Arabidopsis thaliana: one gene and its partners. The protein of the gene in region 1 interacts with the protein of each later gene in a pairwise test. Each region holds a gene or a part of one and is shown in the gene's direction. Other genes may lie near its edges.

What was found.
Region 2: the proteins of AT1G68185 (region 1) and AT1G27100 interact in a two-hybrid assay, tested with the Arabidopsis thaliana proteins (one study listed by BioGRID).
Region 3: the proteins of AT1G68185 (region 1) and PIP2A interact in a two-hybrid assay, tested with the Arabidopsis thaliana proteins (one study listed by BioGRID).
Region 4: the proteins of AT1G68185 (region 1) and DIR1 interact in a two-hybrid assay, tested with the Arabidopsis thaliana proteins (one study listed by BioGRID).

What each region holds. Positions count from the first base shown.
Region 1 is NC_003070.9:25,554,420-25,559,616, forward strand, and holds AT1G68185 (Ubiquitin-like superfamily protein), read left to right. Parts: upstream 1-1,963; 5' UTR 1,964-1,984; coding exon 1,985-2,125; intron 2,126-2,239; coding exon 2,240-2,315; intron 2,316-2,403; coding exon 2,404-2,462; intron 2,463-2,656; coding exon 2,657-2,787; intron 2,788-2,923; coding exon 2,924-3,134; intron 3,135-3,586; coding exon 3,587-3,754; 3' UTR 3,755-3,761; exon of another isoform or gene 3,762-3,847; 3' UTR 3,848-4,114; downstream 4,115-5,197. Other genes in the region: AT1G68180 (RING/U-box superfamily protein), read left to right, coding at 397-1,081, 1,184-1,206; BBX27 (B-box zinc finger family protein), read left to right, coding at 4,801-4,872, 4,950-5,197.
Region 2 is NC_003070.9:9,405,933-9,413,075, reverse strand, and holds AT1G27100 (Actin cross-linking protein), read left to right. Parts: upstream 1-1,707; 5' UTR 1,708-2,001; coding exon 2,002-2,625; intron 2,626-4,481; coding exon 4,482-5,132; intron 5,133-5,234; coding exon 5,235-5,519; 3' UTR 5,520-5,991; downstream 5,992-7,143. Other genes in the region: AT1G27110 (Tetratricopeptide repeat (TPR)-like superfamily protein), read left to right, coding at 1-58; AT1G27090 (glycine-rich protein), read left to right, coding at 6,978-7,143.
Region 3 is NC_003074.8:19,802,576-19,807,804, reverse strand, and holds PIP2A (plasma membrane intrinsic protein 2A), read left to right. Parts: upstream 1-2,074; 5' UTR 2,075-2,350; coding exon 2,351-2,657; intron 2,658-3,125; coding exon 3,126-3,421; intron 3,422-3,548; coding exon 3,549-3,689; intron 3,690-3,779; coding exon 3,780-3,899; 3' UTR 3,900-4,332; downstream 4,333-5,229. UniProt on the Arabidopsis thaliana protein: Water channel required to facilitate the transport of water across cell membrane. Probably involved in root water uptake. Its function is impaired by Hg(2+).
Region 4 is NC_003076.8:19,644,945-19,648,687, reverse strand, and holds DIR1 (Bifunctional inhibitor/lipid-transfer protein/seed storage 2S albumin superfamily protein), read left to right. Parts: upstream 1-1,847; 5' UTR 1,848-2,062; coding exon 2,063-2,371; 3' UTR 2,372-2,660; downstream 2,661-3,743. Other genes in the region: AT5G48490 (Bifunctional inhibitor/lipid-transfer protein/seed storage 2S albumin superfamily protein), read left to right, coding at 451-756; AT5G48480 (Lactoylglutathione lyase / glyoxalase I family protein), read right to left, coding at 3,030-3,246, 3,591-3,743. UniProt on the Arabidopsis thaliana protein: Putative lipid transfer protein required for systemic acquired resistance (SAR) long distance signaling. May interact with a lipid-derived molecule to promote long distance signaling associated with SAR.

The sequences.
Region 1 (5,197 bases):
TTGCATGGATTTTTTTTAACGAGCAATAATAAATTGTAAAATCTTATTTGGGTCTAATTAATTTCACTTCTGAGTCATACAATATGTACATGAACTAGTAAGTTGGAATGGGCCCATAATGGGCCGCTCAAATAACTCTCCTCCAAACCTAAAACCCTTTATCGTAATTGATTCTCCAAGCATCCTTTTGAATCTCTGATTCCTACAAGACAAATCACTAAAAGATTCGCAAGTTGACATAGCAGAGACCATACGACACCAACCTAAACACAGAAAAGAATAACTCATTCACTCGTATAGGCTTTGTCTTGCCTCTTCTTGAAAACATGTACACGTATTTAATTATAAATGCATATATAAAGATCCTACCGACGAAAAAATAAAAAGATTGAAAACATGACATCTGCTTATCGTCCAAGAGTTATTGTGAATGGAACAAGAAGAACAAGAACGTTCCATTACTTCTATTGTCGCCATTGTAGCCGTACCATTAGGCTAAGAAGCTTTGGTCTATATGGTCCCATATGTCCTTTCTGTTCTAGAGAGATCAATCTTCACGATGAGCTTGACATTATGAGGCCAAGCCGACCTTATTGGGATAGTGATACCGATTGGATCACTCTCCATCTTATCAACGAACCAAGAAGTAACCGGTTCAATCATGATGATCTAGTTTATAATACTGACGAGGAATTCGCTGATGTCATGCCTAGTGTACAAATCGGTCCACCACCAGCCTCGCAATCCGCCATCGAGGCTGTAAGGACGGTGATAATCACGGATGAAGATTTGGTGAAAGAGAAGGTTTGTGCGATATGCAAGGAGGAATTTGAAGTTGGAGAGGAAGGAAAAGAATTGAAATGCTTGCATTTGTACCATTCAAGCTGCATTGTGTCTTGGTTGAACATTCACAACACTTGTCCCATTTGTCGTTTTGAGGTTAACTTAGGTGTTTCCGAGAGTAACGTAGACGAAGGAGGGTCTTACAACATCGACAATGATCGATCAAATCGGTTTCGGACTCGGGTTTGTTCTTTGTGGCCTCTCCGAATGATGATTGATTGGGTACATAATCTCATAGGTAAGATTCCACCTCCCGATATAGCTTTCATGGCTTTTCTATTATGCTTATACGGGTTTTGACTATGATATTTAACTCTTAAAAATATATACAATTTCGCAGATATAAGAATAACAAACTCTTGACAAAAAAAAATTAAAGAATTGCAAACAAGAATGTATGAAACTAGGAATATTATTGACTACATATTAAGTGTATTATGACTTATGAGAGAGAGGAGAAGAAACACACATCAATAAGAAACGACAAAAAAAAACTACATAAAGAGACAAAGAGGGTGATCATGAAAGGCTAGAAGCGTGTTTATTTCATGAAACAAAACTTTGGCATTAACAAGACTATATTTGCATTAATTATCTTTTATTCATTTGTAAGTTGTAACAACATGTAAATAAAAAATCTTGGTAATAAGGTTAGTCCTCTACTCTACTAGCTAGGGTTCCATGATCTCTCATAGTCTCTGAAAACGCTTTGTCTCCCTTTCTTTGTTTCTTTCTCTCTCGTGATCATCGAACACAATTTACTTAGGTATGGTTTGAATAGCCTCACCAACCCTTTTTATTTGCCGGTTATCTTATTTTTGGCCTGATTTTGTAAAGCCGAGTTTGTGCCTTCTCGGTTTGGTTTACTATAACCTTCATGTAGAGCTTCCCATGGACTTCTCTACTAAAGACTTAGGATGAGTCTTGTTGTACCATCTTTTATTGTCATGCATTCAAAAATACCAACAAAATTCTACTAAAGTACAACAGATCTCAAATGACAAATACGCAATCAACTATGATGGTCACCCAACCCAATTAAACCAATCTGAAAAAAAAGTGTGATAACCAATGAAAACTCGGCCCACTAAACAGGCCCAACAAACAAATAATAAACCCAAGAGGTGCTTCTTAATCGCCGATGCCTCTCTTCATCAAAATTCAAAATCACTTTTGTCTTTTCAAAAATCACAGCAAAATAATATTCAAATTCAAAATCTGTCCAAATTCATCTAGGGTTTCTGATAAAACAGACGAAGAAGATCCAAATTCGCTAACAATGGTGAGAATTTTATGAATTCCCAATACCCCAATTTTTAAAACCCTAATTTTGTCTGTTGTGGGATTGTGTTGATGCCTGAGTTTTTCTGAATTTGTATTACTGATTGATGATCAGGGAGGTGAAGGAGAAGATCTAGAGCCACTTTTTGATTATCGTCGTGTTCAGCCAGCGAATTTCGTTTGTATCGATGGTGAGTTTCGATTATTTGATTTGGTCACTGAGCTCGACACTCGACAGTGATAAAGATGAATCCTTTATTATCGCTTGAATTTTTGTAGATGATGATGATGATGCCTCGGTGACGCCAATTCCGAAGAAAGCGAAAACTTCACAAACAGTAAGAATTGATTTTTATTGATTGGTTGTTGTCTCATTGAGCTCTTTGTGTTAACTTGATAGATACTTTTGGTATTGTGGGCTTGTAAAGAGTTTTGAATCAATGTCAGTGAAGGAACAATTCGATTATGTACTTCACAATTCATAGGTTGAATCTATCATCATTCCTTTTGGAACTTGAATCTTTTTATATAGGTTGAGAAGTTAGATGATGATGTGAAAGTGATTGAAGTTACGGGTGATGACGATTGGTTGCTTCCTCCACCAAAGGTTATCTTCGACAAAAGTAAAGACTCTGTTGAAGATTCAACTATTAAAGCATTGAGGTAACTTTTGTATGTCTTTGAGTATTTCTCATCTCTAAGCTTCCCATGTTGCTGTTAGAGGCTATGGTAGTGTTATTTGCTATCCGGAAAGAGTCCCAGTGTTACAATTTGATTATAAATGAAATATGTAACGTAGGTCGAAGAAGATGGAGCTCATGTCATTTACAAAAACTGTAGGAGATGTGATGCAGGAAGTTGAGGAGTCTGCTAAAAGGGAAGTTGAAGAATCTCGCAATCCATCTTCAGAGACTGCTGCTCAGTTACCATCAGAGCCTACGAATGACAGGGCCAAGATTGTTATTACAATACAGGACAAAGATGGACAGAAGACACTCCGGGTGTTTGCGGTAAGTTTTTTCACTGCTTGCCACTTACTATCCAACCTTCCATCGACAATAAGCTTACTATCCAAACTTTTTCTAGCTAGATACTAGATATTTAGTAGAGATAAGAATTAGTTGTTATGTCACCTTCGCTACTATCTAGATAGCTAGATATTTCGAGCTTTCTAGGAAAGCAAGAGTATAAATACAGGGATTAAAGAAATCATTGAATGGGGTCGAGTATTTGAGACGTGTATTAGTTGATGGATCTTTAAACTATTCTTTGAGTTCATCTAATAAACTAGAGAACGAGTTCATGTTCTTATCAATGTATCATCACCACATAGCATTTACACACAGAATACATATTGCTTGCTCTCTGTCATACAATGAGCCGCTCATTAATAGATATGCATATTCTGTTAAAGCTTGTAAAATATGAGAATGTTGATTTGGTATTTACCATTTTCTTGTAGGACGAGAAATTTGAGAGGGTTATCAAACTGTATACAGATAAAGCTAAGCTTGACCCGCAAAATCTTGTATTTATTTTTGACGGTGATAAGATTGATCCATCAACCACTCCTTCTGAACTTGGCATGGAGGATCATGATATGATTGAAGTGCACACCAAAAAAACTTGACAAATAGGTAACTTATGAAGTCCTCCACATCTTTCTTCTTGCTCTTATTGTGATATGATGATAACTCATTATCTTCGATTGAATTCAAGTCAGGCGCTAATCGGAATCTGGAATGTCAAATCTGTTCCATCTTTTGCGAAAAACCAGAGTTTTGTACATCAACATGGGCATGGGAAGGGATCTCTCTGCTAACATCTGGTGTTTGTATCTGTGACCTTTCTCATTTTATCGGAATTTTGTTTCTTTCTTTCTTTCACTCTTTCTGTCACTCTTTATTAGGCGTGTATAATATATAAGGTAAACCAAACCATTTTGATTTTAACTAATCCTATTGAATCCAATCTAAAAATCTAACTAAACTTTTGTTTGGTTTTAATCGTTATGCTTTCTCTATCTCTTGAGAAACATAAATATATATCTCACTAATCTAAGACAAAACTAAAACTATTGTATGTATAATCAGTATTGCTTTTTACTAACTGACAAAAACTGGAATCAATGGTAAATCGGTTAAATTCGGTTTAGTGTACTTTTTCCTTTGTTTCTTAGTAAATGTCGTTTTACACTGATATTTTTTATATTCAAATATAGTCTCATGACTCTAATATTTCTTGTTTTGTAACATTAGCTTTTAATATAATCTTGATAGAAAAGAAAACATCACATTAGTCATTAATAAAATTCTTAAAAATGTAAAATTATAAGAATTAACACATTCAAGTACTATTTATGTGTTTTAGTTCATGTGAAAAATAATAAAACCAATTAACGAACTAACCAAGTCGGATAATTGTAGTTTTTGTTTGGTCCGGAGTTAGCTACGACATGTGGCATACAATAATTGGTTAGGAAAAGCTAAGCTTTAAGAGTTAGAGATGATGGGTCGTGAAAGAAGAAGCTGTCACAGTGGCACATACGTCCGTGGCTTCCCCATATCTCACGTGCATACGGATAACGTAATCACCATTTTTTCTAAGTCCCCACCCAAATATCTACGTGGCTTTGCCACGTCATCCTAACCAAACCGACGGATTTGTTCAGATAATATGAAAAAGCTCCTAAAAACAGACAGAAGAAGCTTTTGTCACCAATCTCTGATCTTTTTAGTTCTCTTATCGGTAAAAACTTATTCTTCTCTTTTTGTTCGATCTGTGATCTCTAATAAACTAATTTGATATTTTTTTTGATGTAACAGGGAGGAATCTTTTATATGTTATGTATAATAATAATTGAGAATATGGAAAGAGTATGTGAGTTTTGTAAAGCGTATAGAGCAGTGGTTTATTGTATAGCTGATACAGCAAATCTTTGTTTAACATGTGATGCAAAGGTTCATTCAGCTAATTCACTCTCGGGACGGCATTTACGTACGGTTTTATGTGATTCTTGTAAGAATCAGCCTTGTGTTGTTCGATGTTTTGACCATAAAATGTTTCTTTGCCA
Region 2 (7,143 bases), about 16 Mb from region 1:
TATAAGTGCAGGTAAGAAAGCAAAAGCATTGGAATCTTCATATTTCAAGTCTGCTTGATCGCCAAAACGGCATTTGTCTTGTTGTTTTATAATAAGTCAATGGTTATGGTCAATGCATAAGAATAATAATAATTTTGTTAATATAATTGAAATTTACATTCTATTGACTTTGTATTAGTATTTTATAAAGATGTTTATGAGAAAAAAACTACTAGAAGACCATTAAAATGGATCTTGAAAGCTGTATGTTACAGTTAGATATGTTGTTCAATTGCGACATGGAAACATGTCTAAGGATTAGGGGACGCCCATTTCTGCATTTTTTATATGATTTTTAACATGCAACTTTTTTTTATCTTAATAAAGATATTTTATATTTTAATAATAAAATGACTTAAATCTTAGTCCTATACACGAGATTATTTCAATAACATTCAAAGAAAAATTGAATACCACATTATTGATCTCCAAAATGTCAAGTGACTGTATCGCAAATTCTATATAAATTTTTTCAAAAAGGCTGATAAAATTAATTATTTTTTTCGAACATATATCTTATAATTTACACCAAGCTTCCAACATTAATTTCGTAATTTAATATCTAAAAACTTGTAACTTTTTTTTTTTTAATACTAAGAGGTTCTGAACCGAAACCCGTAAGCTCTCCAGACCCGAAACCACATCCACATCATGTAAATTACATGCATCAGTGTATCACTTAAACAAGAAGTCGTGAAACTTCCATGAATTTATAAGGTTGATCTTATAGTGATTTTCTCATACCATATAAAATACACCAATGACCAGACGTCTAATATGTTTCTGAAATTCACTATAAACAAATTAGTGTTAAGACTTGTAGTTACATGCGTCACCTAAAAACATTGAAATTTCATGAGTTCTCCGGAAAACAAACCAATATATTTATTTGGTGTGGAAGGTACAAATTAAGACCGAGTCTCTCAAAGCCCTACGTCGGCCACATAAGCCAACCAATGGATATAAAAAAATTAAAAACTCAACTATGACATGTTGCCAAAAAATCTGATATCAATACTTTTCGGCTTATCCAGAAAGATAGGAGTCACACGTATATAACAAGGCAATGTGTTGTGTGTATCTAGATCTATTTATATGCAACTGTTTAGAAAATGTACTAATCCTAAATTATTCTACACAAATATTCACAAGTCTACTTCATGACTTTCTTGGTTCTATCTACGGAAAAGAGACAATTCTACACAATAAGCCCACGCGCTCTACATTACCTCTTCATAAATACATTCTTTTCACAACATTTAATATGAAGTTTTATTGTAGTATTCTGATTTCTTCTATGATTATATAATTATTCCATTCAATTATGGAGCTACATATAACATAATTTAACTAGCTGAACTGATCTTTCATCAATATTACATGATCGTCATGGTTTTCATGAATCTATGAGTTTACATTTCCCTCATTAATTTAAATTCTCAAATTTACATTGATAAGATTTGAATTATGGTGCGGATTTATCGACGATAAGGTCCATAGACTCATTACTAGAGGGATCAAAAGACACTTATCAGTTATCACGCACACAGGACTGTAATCACATCCATAAAACCTTATACTATAACCGGATACCGGTTTAAACAAAGAACCAACATTGAACCACAACCTAAGACATTTTCTATCAAAGTCTTCACATCACGTTCTTTACGCGCGTGAGGTAAAATGTTCAACAAGTTACGTAGGTGGAGGAGAACCTTCGTAATACTTTTTCATTAGTCTTTTCTTCATTTGATTTTGCGAAATTTCTAAATAATTGCGAGCTGCATAATCCCTCCGACTATTAACTTACAAAGTACCCTTTTAGCCAGGCTTTTTCTGTCTTATTTTTTTGTCATTAAACTATATAACCAAACACAAACATCATCTTTCTCCTTCATTTCACAAACTTAAAATTCTCTGTTTTTGTTTCTTCTTCTTTCAAAATCTCAAGCAAAAGAAAAAATGGAGCTATTCACAAAAGGTAACAACGTTAAGTTACGTAGCCACCTAGATAAGTTTTTAGTCGCCGACGATGACCAAGAAACCATCCGTCAAAGCCGTAAAGGAGATGCACGGCGTGCCGTTTGGACGGTGGAGCCCGTCGTCGATAAACCTAATCTGATAAGGTTAAAGAGCAGCCACGGCACGTACTTAACGGCGAGCAACAAACCGTTATTGTTAGGTATGACCGGTGAGAAAGTGACTCAAACGGCGTCGTTTAACAAGCTGATGGATTGGCAAACGCAGTGGGAACCGGAGCGAGATGGGTTTCAGGTGAAGCTAAAATCTTGGTGCGGTAAGTGGATGAGGGCTAACGGTGGAACGCCGCCGTGGAGAAACTCTGTTACTCACGATGAGCCTCATACGTCAAAGACAAAGAACTGGTTGATTTGGGATGTTATAACTATTGATGGTTCTGATCTTGAAAACATGTCTGATGGTGATGAAAGCTCTGTTTCTTCTCCGGTCGGGTCTGAATTCGGATCAGAACCCGGGTCACCTGTTTCTGCCAGGTCTACGAAGAGTAGTATTAGCCGGTTTGCTTCTCTTGGTTTATCTACGTCTCCGAGATGGTCCTCAAAACCGGTAAGTTTGACTAAGTCTTTTATTCAGTGTGCATTGATTAGTTTTTCTTAATTTCTGTGTTTAAATTAAGGCTAATATAGAAATTTATTATTGTGAGTTGAACTTAGACAATTCTGTATATAAGAAATTAGTTGGCATGCATGAACATATGGAAAAAAAGATGAGGATTACCCGTATTAGTATCTACAATTTAAAGAAAATTACATGATCTGTATCATTTCTTTTCTCCACTAACATAGATAATGCTCCACAAGCACACACATCGTTTTACCAACCTAATACCACCAAAATGTATAGGATTTTTTAATTGTATAGTTTTGATTAGTTTATCTATTATAATAGACTATAGTTGAAAATATGACACTTAACAATCCAACTTAAGTTTACTTCAATGATTGAAGGATAGTTTTGAAATGCTTGTAGTAGAACCTCTAAAATGTAACTAAGTGACTGTATATTTCTTACAAAAGCTATACCTAAGGATGATTAAAGAAGAAAAATACGATTATTATTCCTTAACAATAAAAACTTGTACCTAATGGCTTAAGATAAACAAATCTAGTGCCAGTTAACATAAGACAAGTGTAACAAAAAGTAAGGTAAAAAAGTTGGTAGTTATGATTTAGTGATGGAGCATATGGTCCAGGGATGCAATTAGGAGAGTCCCACACTCATGAATTTCCTCTCTTGGTCTTTCTTGCGGGCAAGGGTTTATAGATTTATTTTCTAAATATTCGCTTAAATCCTATCTTTTCGATCCATTCTTTTATGGCATAGGGACACTATTATTTTTGGGGAAAAGGGCATATACTTTTATCTTTTTAATTATTTATTTATATTTTTCAATATTTTCCATTTAATATTGATTTGCTTATACCACATAATTGCTTATAATCTAACTGAAAATCACATATTATTCATCAAGAATTACGTCCATTAGTTCCGATTTTGATCTTATCATAGAACTAAATACGTACTGAAAAATTAAAAGATAATGGAAAAAGTATAGAGTAACAATGTAAAATGATACTTTATTGGGAAATTTGGTTACCTATCTCTATCGTAATTTATTCTCTTCATATAGATTATTATATACATAGCAAATAAAAGTTTACCAAATGTATGTACCATACCTTTTATTATTATTTCAAATGAATCTTCAATAGTCAACATTGACTCCTAGTATTATGTTTAAATCTTCTATGAATTGAAGAATCTGAAATAAACATCATGAATGATTGGAAGATATGTAAGAGAAAATTGTTCCAACTGATAAAAGTTTTCACAAAGTCATTGTAGTAATTAATAGATATATAGAAAAATAAAACACAATTTAAGGCCAATTTTTTTCATCTTCTCCTATAAGATTTAACACCAAATTTTTTAAAGAAAAATTCAAAGCATTGATTTTTTTATATATAATCAAATACAAACTTTAGTTACAATCTAAATCCTGCTTTGTTTCTTGAAAATCTGTTTAAATTAACAATAGTTGGTGTCTTGGAATCCTCGTAATTAACTTTAATCTCAAGATTTACAAACATTACAAAGTAACAAAATCCAAAACACGTGAAACAACAACGCGTTACAAGCTCTAACAAATACTAATAAGGAAAGAAATCCAAATCATAAATTTCTGCTGACGTGGATATTAGATACGCGCTCTAATCCAGCTAGCAACGACTTTTCCAGATTTCTTACCTTACCTAGTCCGCGTAACCGTAAAAAACTAAAAAACCCAATTTAGACCAGTCCAGTGTCAGATCCACCACACATATAAAATAACCATATCTCTCACTTCTTCTTCTTCTTCTTCTTATCACTATTCGCTCATTTCCCCTTCTCTGTTGTTACAGAAGTCGACGGCGAGTAGCTTCAACCAAAAAGAAACACCAGTATCTGTCTCAGCAATGGAATTTTTCCAGAAAGCAAAAGCTATTCGAATGCGTAACAGTCACAACAAGTATCTAACAGCAGACGACGATGAAGAAACCGTAACTCAAAACCGTAACGGATCTACCAAAAACGCTCGATGGACCGTCGAACCGGTTCGTGATTCTTTCCATGTTATTCGTCTTAAAAGCTGTTACGGTAAGTACTTAACCGCTTCTAACGAGCGGTTCTTGCTCGGGGCTACGGGGAAGAAAGTGATTCAGTTGAAACTGAGTCGGGTTGATTCGTCTGTTGAGTGGGAACCGCTTAGAGAAGGGTCTAAGATTAAGCTTAGGACTAGATCTGGTAACTATTTACGAGGTAATGGTGGTCTTCCTCCTTGGAGAAACTCGGTCACACACGACGTTCCTCATTTGTCTGCTACTCAGGATTCGATTTCTTGGGATGTTGATGTTGTTGAGATCTTGACTGATTCCGAATTCAAGACGGAGTCTGCGAAAGCGCCGCCACCGAAGACGACGTCTCCACCGCCGCATCGGAGACCGACGAGTTCGCCGTTGTCGGCTGAGTCTCCAAGGACTTCGTCTTCTCTTTCAGACAGATCCGATTCAGATGTGAGTACTTTTCCTAAATTCCTAAAACACCTTTGGTTTTGTTTAAAATTACAGTTGTACCGTTTTCCGGTTATTGAAAATTTTGATTTTGATTTTGACCAGTCGGTTGAGTCTCCGCCTAAATCTGATGGACGAACCATATATTACCATGTCGCTGACGAGGAAGGACACGTGGAAGATGAAACAACCGTTGGATATGCTTTCACGTTTAAAGGAAATAGCGTGGCGGAGCTGACTCAGACATTGCGAGAAGAAACGTGCATGGAAGACGCTGTGGTGTGTACTCGTAGTCCTTTAAACGGCAAGCTGTTTCCTCTTCGTTTGCAACTTCCTCCTAACAACGGAACATTGCATGTCATTTTACTACCCTCCAGCGCGAGCCTCTAGAATCGACCCGAGACAATTAGAAATGAGTGATTGTGTGATTGTTTGGTGAAGCATATGATATGAACCGTATAAGAAGATAGTAAGAGTTGGTAGTTGGTACAAGACTCGTTGTTACATAGATTGAAAAAAGGCGTCGGCACATGAACCTTGCTTAATCTATAGACTATTTGTAAGAGTTTTGATAATAGGAAGGACTTATAAATTATTTTTTGGGGGAATATAATACAAGTTTGTTTTTGTAAATAAGCGATTTCTTTGTAAACGAACATTTGGATTTTGGGGGTTTATTTGTGTGAGCATGGATTCATAAACAAAAATCATTAATTTCTTATAAGTTATTCACTAGTAAATGGAGATTATGACTCGAATGTAGCCAAATTTAGTTTGGATGACGTGAACAACCAAATCAGAATAATCACCTATCTTAATATAGTGATTTAGTGACCAGTAGACGATAGTTGTGACAAGAAATCTTATAAATACTTTGTTGTCACAATTCACGAATGTTAAAGGGGTTAGAAGTTGAAACTATCTCCAAGTTAAAGTATCCATTAAGCTATCGTTAAACATAAAATACAAATCATGAAGCATACGAAGACCTTAATATCAAGTCATATACAGAATGAATATACAAAAAGAGGAATAATTCCTAATGTATACGTACGATACTACGTTGACGAAAAAAAAAAAAAAAACGTACGATACTACGATTGGAGTTTTCTAATTACTTACAGAATATTTAAACAACATTATGTATCTAGAAGGATCTAGAATAAAATTGAATCTAAAGTACACCAAAAAAGTGGAATATTTCCCAATATCCTAACAACTTTGATAATATCTTAATTTCAAACTGTTTTTATTATGTAACAATACCGTATTTCATTTCTTAACTTAAAACTCATTATTTACATGATATTTCAAAAATTACCTATGTACTTGTCATTATATACATGGTATTTCAAAAATTACCTATTTACATATTACCCTTTTAAATGGTATATTTACTAATAAAATTAAGTATTGCATTTAGGAAAAGAGAGTGCCTCTTGATACAATTTTAAAATAATACAAATACCCTATGTCATTCCAAGTAACTAATAATAAATTGACAAATAATTTTTTTATACAAGAAACGTAATCCACAAAAATAATTTGAAAAAATCTACACAAAATAGTTGAAAATAGAACACTCCTATTTATTTATTTTTTTCCTTTTGTTTTGAGACGGATAATTTCACTTGCATTACTGGAATTTTTCATCAATTATTATATATTTAGCTCAAAACTATCACTACCCAAAAACCAGACGCTTCAACTTATCCCCATTTCTCTGAAAACCCTAACAAATCCTCCTCTTGTTCCGCCACTGCCGCCGCCGCTACTCAACGGTGGTGAATTTTCTATACGGTCAGTTCGATCCTCTTTTTATCGACAATCCTACACAAATCCATAATCATGGCCGCCACTGCTTCCTCCGAAGCTTCTGAAGGACCAGTGATGGGTCTCATCAACAAGCGTCTCCGTGCTCTCCGTAAGAAATACAACCGAATCACTCAAATGGAAGAATCGATTTCTCAAGGCAAAACCCTAAACAAGGAGCAAGAAGAAGTCCTCCGCTCTA
Region 3 (5,229 bases), on another chromosome or scaffold:
AGACAGATAAATCAATATATGTTTGTTGATCTTGCTGTAGTACATTCTGGACTAATTCTTTCAATTGGAGTGACTAAAAAGGACAAAATTTATGCATAACGACGTCATACTATATGTAACTCGATTTGTCTAGAATATTTAGATAAGGTTAAGACTAGTTTTCTATGAATAGAAGAAAGTGTAAAATATATAAATAAACATACTAATAACAATTAACAACAGAACCAGAACCAGAAAATTCACATTTCTGTGCTTTTATTATCTAAAATTCACTTCGAAAAACATGAGAAAAAAGAGTTGGCTGACGTGGAATATTCGTCTAATAGTAGCCGACCAACGTAGCCAAAACGATAAGGTTTGCCACATGGCAAAACGATAACCATGGAACTGCATCTCCTGTCTTTTGTTTGGTTGTCACAATTTGTCATTTTTATTGGGATTTATTGTTTTGTTATATTTTCGTTTTCAGTCTAATTGTCAGCAATTTTCGCAAAAGATATGAAATTTTGGATATGAAGAGAAAATGCAAATGATTGGTGGGGACAACAAACGTGGCATTATGTGAGTGGTTGAGCGAACAAACGGCTATATGCTGAGATGGATTGGACGGTGACGATACGTTTGTCGGAGGGATCGGGTCGGTTAGTCACGCGCGCCACCCATTCACGTGTCACCTTTTGCCAACACAGACCATATGATTTTAACCTCAGTGGAATCTCGACCCACCCCACAAAACGGCACCATAACTTTACACCCTGGTTTTAGAGAGTGATATACCAACACAACAATTATGAAAAAGGGTTCGTTTAGGCTTTGGTTACTTTATGTTAGTAATATCAACTTAAATGCTAATTTGAGTTATGTGTGATAAGATATACGACGAATCAATTTACTTATCGTCAATTAAGTTTGAAATGAAAGTTTGTGAACGAAATAGTTTATGCTTCTTTAATATTGTGTCATAATTTTGAGTTCCGGCTCTAACATCTTCAAGTAGGGTTTTGTTTTATGACACCTCAAACATACTTAATAACATATGTTGGTGATAGAAAACTAGACCTTCTAGACTACAAAAATGTTTATAATGTAAGAGAATGACCATATATCTATCTATTTTGAAAACAAAGTGTTTTGACTTTGGTGAACAAGAAAAATGTTCTCTATATATACAATGAGACACTCGAATATAACCATGCATGATTAGTTGGATTTGGAGTGAAGAAACTTAGCCATGCTTCGTTGGAGCAAAATAAGGTTTTGGAGTTTTGTTATGTGTTTTCAAGAATGTAAATGCTGATTCGATAAAAAAAAAAAGTGGACGTAAGTTATTTTAAAATGATTTGGCATACAAAAACTGTGGCTTTTTAAATCTGAAAAATCGACAGGCTATGATATTATACGACAAAAAGAAGAGAGCACCATATTGATGATATAGTATATTGGGTCGGTCCTAAAGAAAATGACATTTAGGTGATGGGGGCGGCGAGGCTAAGTTAAAGTAAACAAAAAAAACCTCCATTATTTACCAGAAAAACATATAAAAATTTGATTGACATAAAAACTAATAAATTATTTCAAAGTTGTGGTTCTGATAGCTCTCCACCATCACCACTGATTGATACTTCCTATTGCTACGAGAGATAAAACTATGCAAGTTTATATGAGTGGATATAAAGTCTTGTTTTATGATATCATAAGCTAGCTAATCCCATATCATTATCATGTATTTATAGACGCATGTTCAATAGATTTGGATCAATCTTTTTGTCATGGACTTGGTGCAAACTATAACGTTAAATAGAATAAACTATTCTAATTTAGGATCTAAAATAAACTCGAATCAAATTTTAAAGAAATTTACTGGCTAACTTATTTGAATTTTTCAAATTTCAACGATTGAAAAACTCTAAGTCTGAAATTAAACTAGGGTTCTTGTCTTTACGTATTAGTAACTATGTATGATATTGATATATCAAGCAATCATTAAATAGAATTGGTTCAAAATTTATTTCAGGACAGCTAGTTCATAATCATTTTGTCAAAGCTACTTCCCTCATAATAATAATAATCATAACTCACTCGTATACTTTTATATCCAATTTTTTCATTGAAAATACAAACTTTCATTCCAAAAAAAAACCTCAATACACAAAAAACCAAAAAAACATATAACGTTGGCAAAAATACTAAAAATATTTTTTAAAAGATAAAGCAATAAAAAAGTATACAAACAAATTAACAAGAAGGAGAGCTCTCACTATAAAACAGAGCACATGTTCTTCTCACTAACCACTCCAACAGAGAAGCAAAAGAAAAAAAAGCTATTGTTTGAAAGAAGAAGAAGTTAACTATGGCAAAGGATGTGGAAGCCGTTCCCGGAGAAGGATTTCAGACAAGAGACTATCAAGATCCGCCACCAGCTCCGTTTATTGATGGAGCGGAGCTAAAGAAGTGGTCTTTCTACAGAGCAGTTATCGCAGAGTTCGTAGCCACTCTCCTCTTCTTATACATCACCGTTTTGACAGTCATCGGTTACAAGATTCAGTCCGATACTGATGCCGGTGGCGTAGATTGCGGCGGAGTTGGAATCCTCGGTATCGCTTGGGCCTTTGGTGGTATGATCTTCATCCTCGTCTACTGCACCGCCGGTATCTCTGGTATGATCCTTCTTTAATCTTGATTTTGGTTTGGTTTAGATTAAGATTATACACTTTTTGAGTATTAGAATTACAATTAAACCGAATAAGCTGAATAAGTTTTACTTATGTAAGTACAACTTGCAAACTCAAAATTTAGACAAGTAAAAATTATATGGTATGGTTTTGGTTTGTTTATTCGAAATTAATTATTTTGCAAGGAAAAATATTGCTTGGTTGACATTACTATTTAATCGGTTTAAAATCTTAGGTTTAAAAGACGAAAATGATTTGTTTATAAAACATTTAATAAGGGTCATGATCAAATCGGTTCTTATCCGAATGATATATATCTAATCTAAGCCTAGTAATTATTTTAAGCAACTGACTAACCCTGTCTTAACCAGAATTGAAACCGGTTAATTAATTGCTTGTTGTACCTTAATTCTCAAGTACTGGTAACATTGTCAACTCTTTTTGTTTCCTTAGGTGGTCACATTAACCCAGCGGTGACATTTGGGCTATTCTTGGCACGTAAAGTGTCGTTACCTAGGGCCCTATTGTACATAATCGCTCAGTGTTTGGGTGCGATTTGTGGAGTTGGTTTTGTCAAAGCCTTCCAAAGCTCTTACTACACCCGTTACGGAGGTGGAGCCAACTCTCTAGCCGATGGCTACAGCACAGGGACCGGTCTAGCCGCAGAGATCATTGGTACTTTCGTTCTTGTCTACACCGTCTTCTCTGCCACTGACCCCAAACGTAGTGCCAGAGACTCCCACGTTCCGGTGAGTCACATATGTAGTGCTATTAATCTTCAATATGGTTAACCGACTCAAAACCGGAACCAAAGCAAACCAAACCAACATTTGATTTCAATCATACTAATAAATTTGAATTTTGATGAAATAAAAGGTGTTGGCGCCACTTCCAATCGGATTTGCCGTGTTCATGGTACATTTGGCTACCATTCCCATTACCGGAACCGGAATTAACCCGGCAAGGAGTTTCGGAGCTGCCGTAATCTACAACAAGAGCAAGCCATGGGATGACCACGTAAGACCTCAACGTTTCTCCATTACATTCAACTATATTTTTCATTTTTACAAGGGAATAATGTTTTGAAATTTTGGTGATTACAAACAGTGGATATTTTGGGTTGGACCATTCATTGGAGCTGCGATAGCTGCATTCTACCACCAATTCGTTCTGAGAGCTTCAGGTTCTAAGTCTCTTGGATCATTCAGAAGTGCTGCCAACGTCTAAACACATCAAACCAGATTTCTCAAGAATAAATGAAGTTGTGATCTCTCTGTACAAATCTAAATCAGTCACTTGCAGTTTTCATTTCCCTTTCTTATATTTGTGTTTTCCACTTGCTCTTTTGTGAATTTTCCTTCGGTGTAATTGTTTTTTCTTTCGCTTTTAAACGAGTGATTGGAATTATAATCAATGAAATCAAAGAGGTTCTTATGCGTTGTGTTTACATTAATACTAGTACTAAAGTTAGTTTCCTTAGAGAATAACAACACCATGGGGCCATGTTCTTGGTCTTGTTTACGTCCTCCTCAAGATGCTCAGTGAATAAGCAGGATTTTGGAGAAACACATGTCTCTGCTTTAACGCAATCATTATCTTTCTAGAAAAGACCATTCCTTTATGTCTTCATACATCTCAGGCGGATAAAGCCTAGCGTGCACCAGCAGTAAGTTTTAGTTACTCTCTGAAACCGCCATTGTCCATTAACCCCATATGCCTCAAAGGCTCACAGAAACTGTTACATTCAAGATTCAACATACTTAGTCGTTTGTTACTTGACAATTATGAATCATATAGGAAATGCTCGAACTTGGCTGAGGATTGAGAGTCTTACCCTTCAGAATCTGCATTTTTTATGAGAACGTGAAGAGGTGTGGCCGCTCAAAATTGGCCTCTTGGTGGCCTAGCCTCAGCCTCTGAGACTGCCTACCATCCAAATCCTTTAATTACGAAAGTAAAACATGTGTTAGATGTTTGATCATTTACTGTAAGAAGTACTAATCGAATAAATTGTTATGCGAAGAAGAGAAATGATGATACTACTGCACCATTCAAAGAATTGATGGAGTTTTGAACCTCTCGGGAAGAGCTGAGTGTCACAAACCCAGTAGATCAGATTTGATATCGAGAAAGTTTCTAAAGGGACCTCATACAGTAGTAAGAAAATGACGAATGTAGTGATACAATAGGCTGGGATGCTTACGAACGATTTATGTTGTTTACTCTGGAGATGCTTGGCGGACAATTCAAAGATTTGGCAAACAACATCGCATAATGTACAAGAAAAGGCATATTCACCCCATCTAATACACGTCTCCCGAAGCTTCCTCTGTTCATTAACCGTAGACGAGACCTTCCTGAACCCGTTGCATCTGTGTGGGAAACAAAAAGAAGAAGGAGAAAAACTTGTTGTGCTGGTAAATTATTTCACCTGTGAGTGAGAGGACAAAACACACCTTCTCGTAAGTCTTCTGGCCAGAGCCACCGTGCTGGAAATTTTGGAGGAAATGGACATGCCTGAAAAGTTGTGTCTCCCCTCCGACGTTTGTCCCACATT
Region 4 (3,743 bases), on another chromosome or scaffold:
ATTTAAATTAAATTTTAACCGGAAAAAAAAAGTGACAAATAATCAGCAAGTGACATACAAATAACTGTTGTATTTTTTTCTTGGTTATAGTGGCATACAAATTACTTGCCATTAATCCACAAATATTTGTAAGAAGCAACATATGTTTATCAATATCAAGAAAATTTACACAATGTGCCAGTTGTATTACTCTGGAATTTTCTTCTTCCATTTTGTAGTAAAAGATTTGTGGGCTGGAGATTGTGGATAATTGATAAATACCAAAAAAAAACAAAAAAGAGCAGCAATAATAAGAATCCAAGTGACCAATACCCTATCCCAAAAGTGAAGAAAGAAAATCCAATCTAGTTCACGGGTTTGCTCCAAAACTTAATAATAAATACACCATTGCATGCACATTCATTTTAACACCACAAACACAACAAATATATAAAAAATAAAGAGGATAAAATGACAAGCAAGAAGGTGGCAATTATGGTGATTGTAATGGTGATGGCTAGTTTAGTCGTTGAGAGGTCAGTGGCGATTGACCTTTGTGGCATGACTCAGGCAGAGTTGAATGAATGCTTACCAGCGGTGAGCAAGAATAACCCGACGAGCCCATCGTTACTTTGTTGTAACGCTCTGAAACATGCTGACTACACTTGTCTTTGTGGCTACAAAAACTCTCCGTGGCTCGGTTCTTTTGGTGTAGATCCCAAGCTCGCTTCTAGTCTCCCTAAAGAGTGTGACCTAACCAACGCCCCAACTTGTTAAGCATTATGGTGTTTTCCTTTGTTTGTTTATTATTTACCATGTTTAATGGAATATTCTAATTAAATATAAGGATATTTTAATGGATTCGCTTAGATTCATACCGAGATTATCGCATAGCTATGGTTCACACTTCACAAAATAATATCAATGATCTAAACCTATAAAATCAAAAATACTTATCATAAAAACGTCACAAAAAGTTCACCAAAAAATAGTATGAAAATAGAGAAAACAAAGTCATGAAAATGCTGTTGTTGCATCAAATTCATCATGAACAATAGATCTCAATCTAATTGCAAATGAAATTTTGATGGTTTTGACTATGAAGAATGAACTCCTCCTTTTTCTATTCTTTTCCATTGGCTCATATACCTTTAAAATTGGTCATTTGTTATAGTCTTTCTATTTCTAACCTTCGTTGGCCAAGGCCTAATTTGCTTTTCCTAAAATCTCTTTAACAAAAAGAAGATAATTGTGAATTAGGTAAAATAATGATTGCCACTATACAGTTTTTACTTTTTAGGTTTCGGTAAAACAGTGATCGCCGGTAAAAACAGTAATTGTAGTTGAAAAACGATTAGATGGTGAAAAAGTATCAACTATAAAAATACATATATTAAATCCACTAAACCATTTCGTAGACCAAATAATCATCTCGTATGTGCCATGCTTATGAGTTTATCACTAATTACACTAATAGGACTGAAATTCTCAAAGAAAATAAAACATTTATTTGAAAATAGAACAGCAAAAAAATTGAGAATCTAGAGATTTGGATTTATTCTTCGTTCTATATTTTGTCCCGTTTATATACTAACTGATGTTCTCATTTGTTTTGTGGTTAAAGTAGCTAACTGTTGTTGACACTTAACAGTAATACTCGCTAACTGTTTTATTTTCGTAATTTGTGAAACTTCTTAGAGTACTCTTACTTGGGCTCATATCAGGCCCAGTATTTTGCGGATGTTTATTAATGTGTTTTTTTTCGATTAAAAGAGAATTTTATATACAAATACAATGTGCAAGTTGAATTTTCTTTTTCCATTTGTAGTAAAAGATTTGTGGACTGGAAATTGTGTAATCGATACTTGATAATTGATAAGAATCCGAAAGCTTATGATTCTATGACAAAAGACCCTCTCCCAAAAGTAAAGTGGAAAAACACATCCCCGTGACTATATGGAGCAATCCAATCTGGTTCACGGGTTTCTCTAAAACTTGATATATATACACCTTCTCATGCACATTCATTTCAACACCACAAACACAAACAAACATATAGAAAAAGAGAGAGGAGGATAATAATATGGCGAGCAAGAAAGCAGCTATGGTTATGATGGCGATGATCGTGATAATGGCTATGTTGGTCGATACATCAGTAGCGATAGATCTCTGCGGCATGAGCCAGGATGAGTTGAATGAGTGCAAACCAGCGGTTAGCAAGGAGAATCCGACGAGCCCATCACAGCCTTGCTGCACCGCTCTGCAACACGCTGATTTTGCATGTCTTTGTGGTTACAAGAACTCTCCATGGCTCGGTTCTTTCGGTGTTGATCCTGAACTCGCTTCTGCTCTCCCCAAACAGTGTGGTCTAGCCAACGCCCCAACTTGTTAAAAGACTCTGTATACGTGTGTTTATGTTTTTTATTACTCCTATTCTAAATATCGGATGTTATTAATAAATCGTATTTTCTGCCAAATGGCGTTTATGGGTTAACCCCAAAAACTGGTCAAAAGAAAAGAAAGAGGACCAATCGAAAACTACACAAGGCCCAAACACGGAAGGGCAATTTCGAAAAATATGTAACCAATAAGCGATAGAGAGAAACCACAAAGCACAAATACAGAGGTTTATGGTTTCACTACCTCTGACACAGTATTCAACACTCTGACACCAAAACAACAAATATTCTTAATTCCGTCTTATCTAATCACTAACCATTTCATTTTCATTCCAAATAGACGATTATACCCTTAGTACTAAACCAACAAAAATGACAAAGAACACAGATTAAACACAGAACGATTATAGAAGATAGATAGAGAAGCGAAATCATCAACAAAACATAATATAGCCCGAGATTAATATGCAATTTCACCAAGATTAGAGTTTGTCAAAAGGGGTGAAATTAGAATCCGAAAGTCATTAGCCTACTCGATCCGGTTTACTGATTACCGGATTCCACAAAAGACAAAATAAAAGCATAAACCTAGGATAATAGATAGTTTTTTTTGTTCAGAAACCGACGAAGAATTAGATCCGACGACAGATTCTAAACCTCTTTGTTCTCGTCGGTGATCACGGTCTTCTTCTCCGCGAAGATCCAAGTGACACCAAAAGGATCCGTAACTTTTCCTTTGAATCCCAGTTCAACTTCTGCCTCCGTAACCTCCACTTTCACAGCTCCGGCGTCAACAGCTTTCGCAACGGCGGCTTCAGCATCCTTAGTTCCGAGAAGAAAAGTCACTCCCGAACCTTCCGATTTCGCACTGTTTAACGATTTAAAAAAGAAACAAAACCACATAAGTAAACAGTAATCGTATTTAAGAAAAGGCACAATCATCCACTTAAAATAGTTTTTTAAGCGTTATAAAAGTTTCCAAAAACTATTCATTTCAAAAACCTAAATCCAGATCTAAAACGAACAAAAAAATCGTGTTTAAGGGAGAGGAATAACTTCTAAACATGATTTATTCTCCAGATTTCTTCTAATAAAACAACCTAAAACCAGATCTAAAACGAAATCAAACACTAAACGAACAAAAACCTAAAAAAAAAACAGAAAACATGGAGATCTAGAAGCTAAACACCAAAACGAGAGAGAGAGACTTACGTAGAAAAACCAGGGAGAGAGGAAACGTCGCAAACAACGAAGGAAGAGCCAGCGAGATTAAGCTCAGAAGAGAGAACATGAGGAAGCTCTTGGTCAAGCTTACGCTTAGGGTAAAGAGAATGACCAGACTCGATCGCACCAAAAGCAGATTTG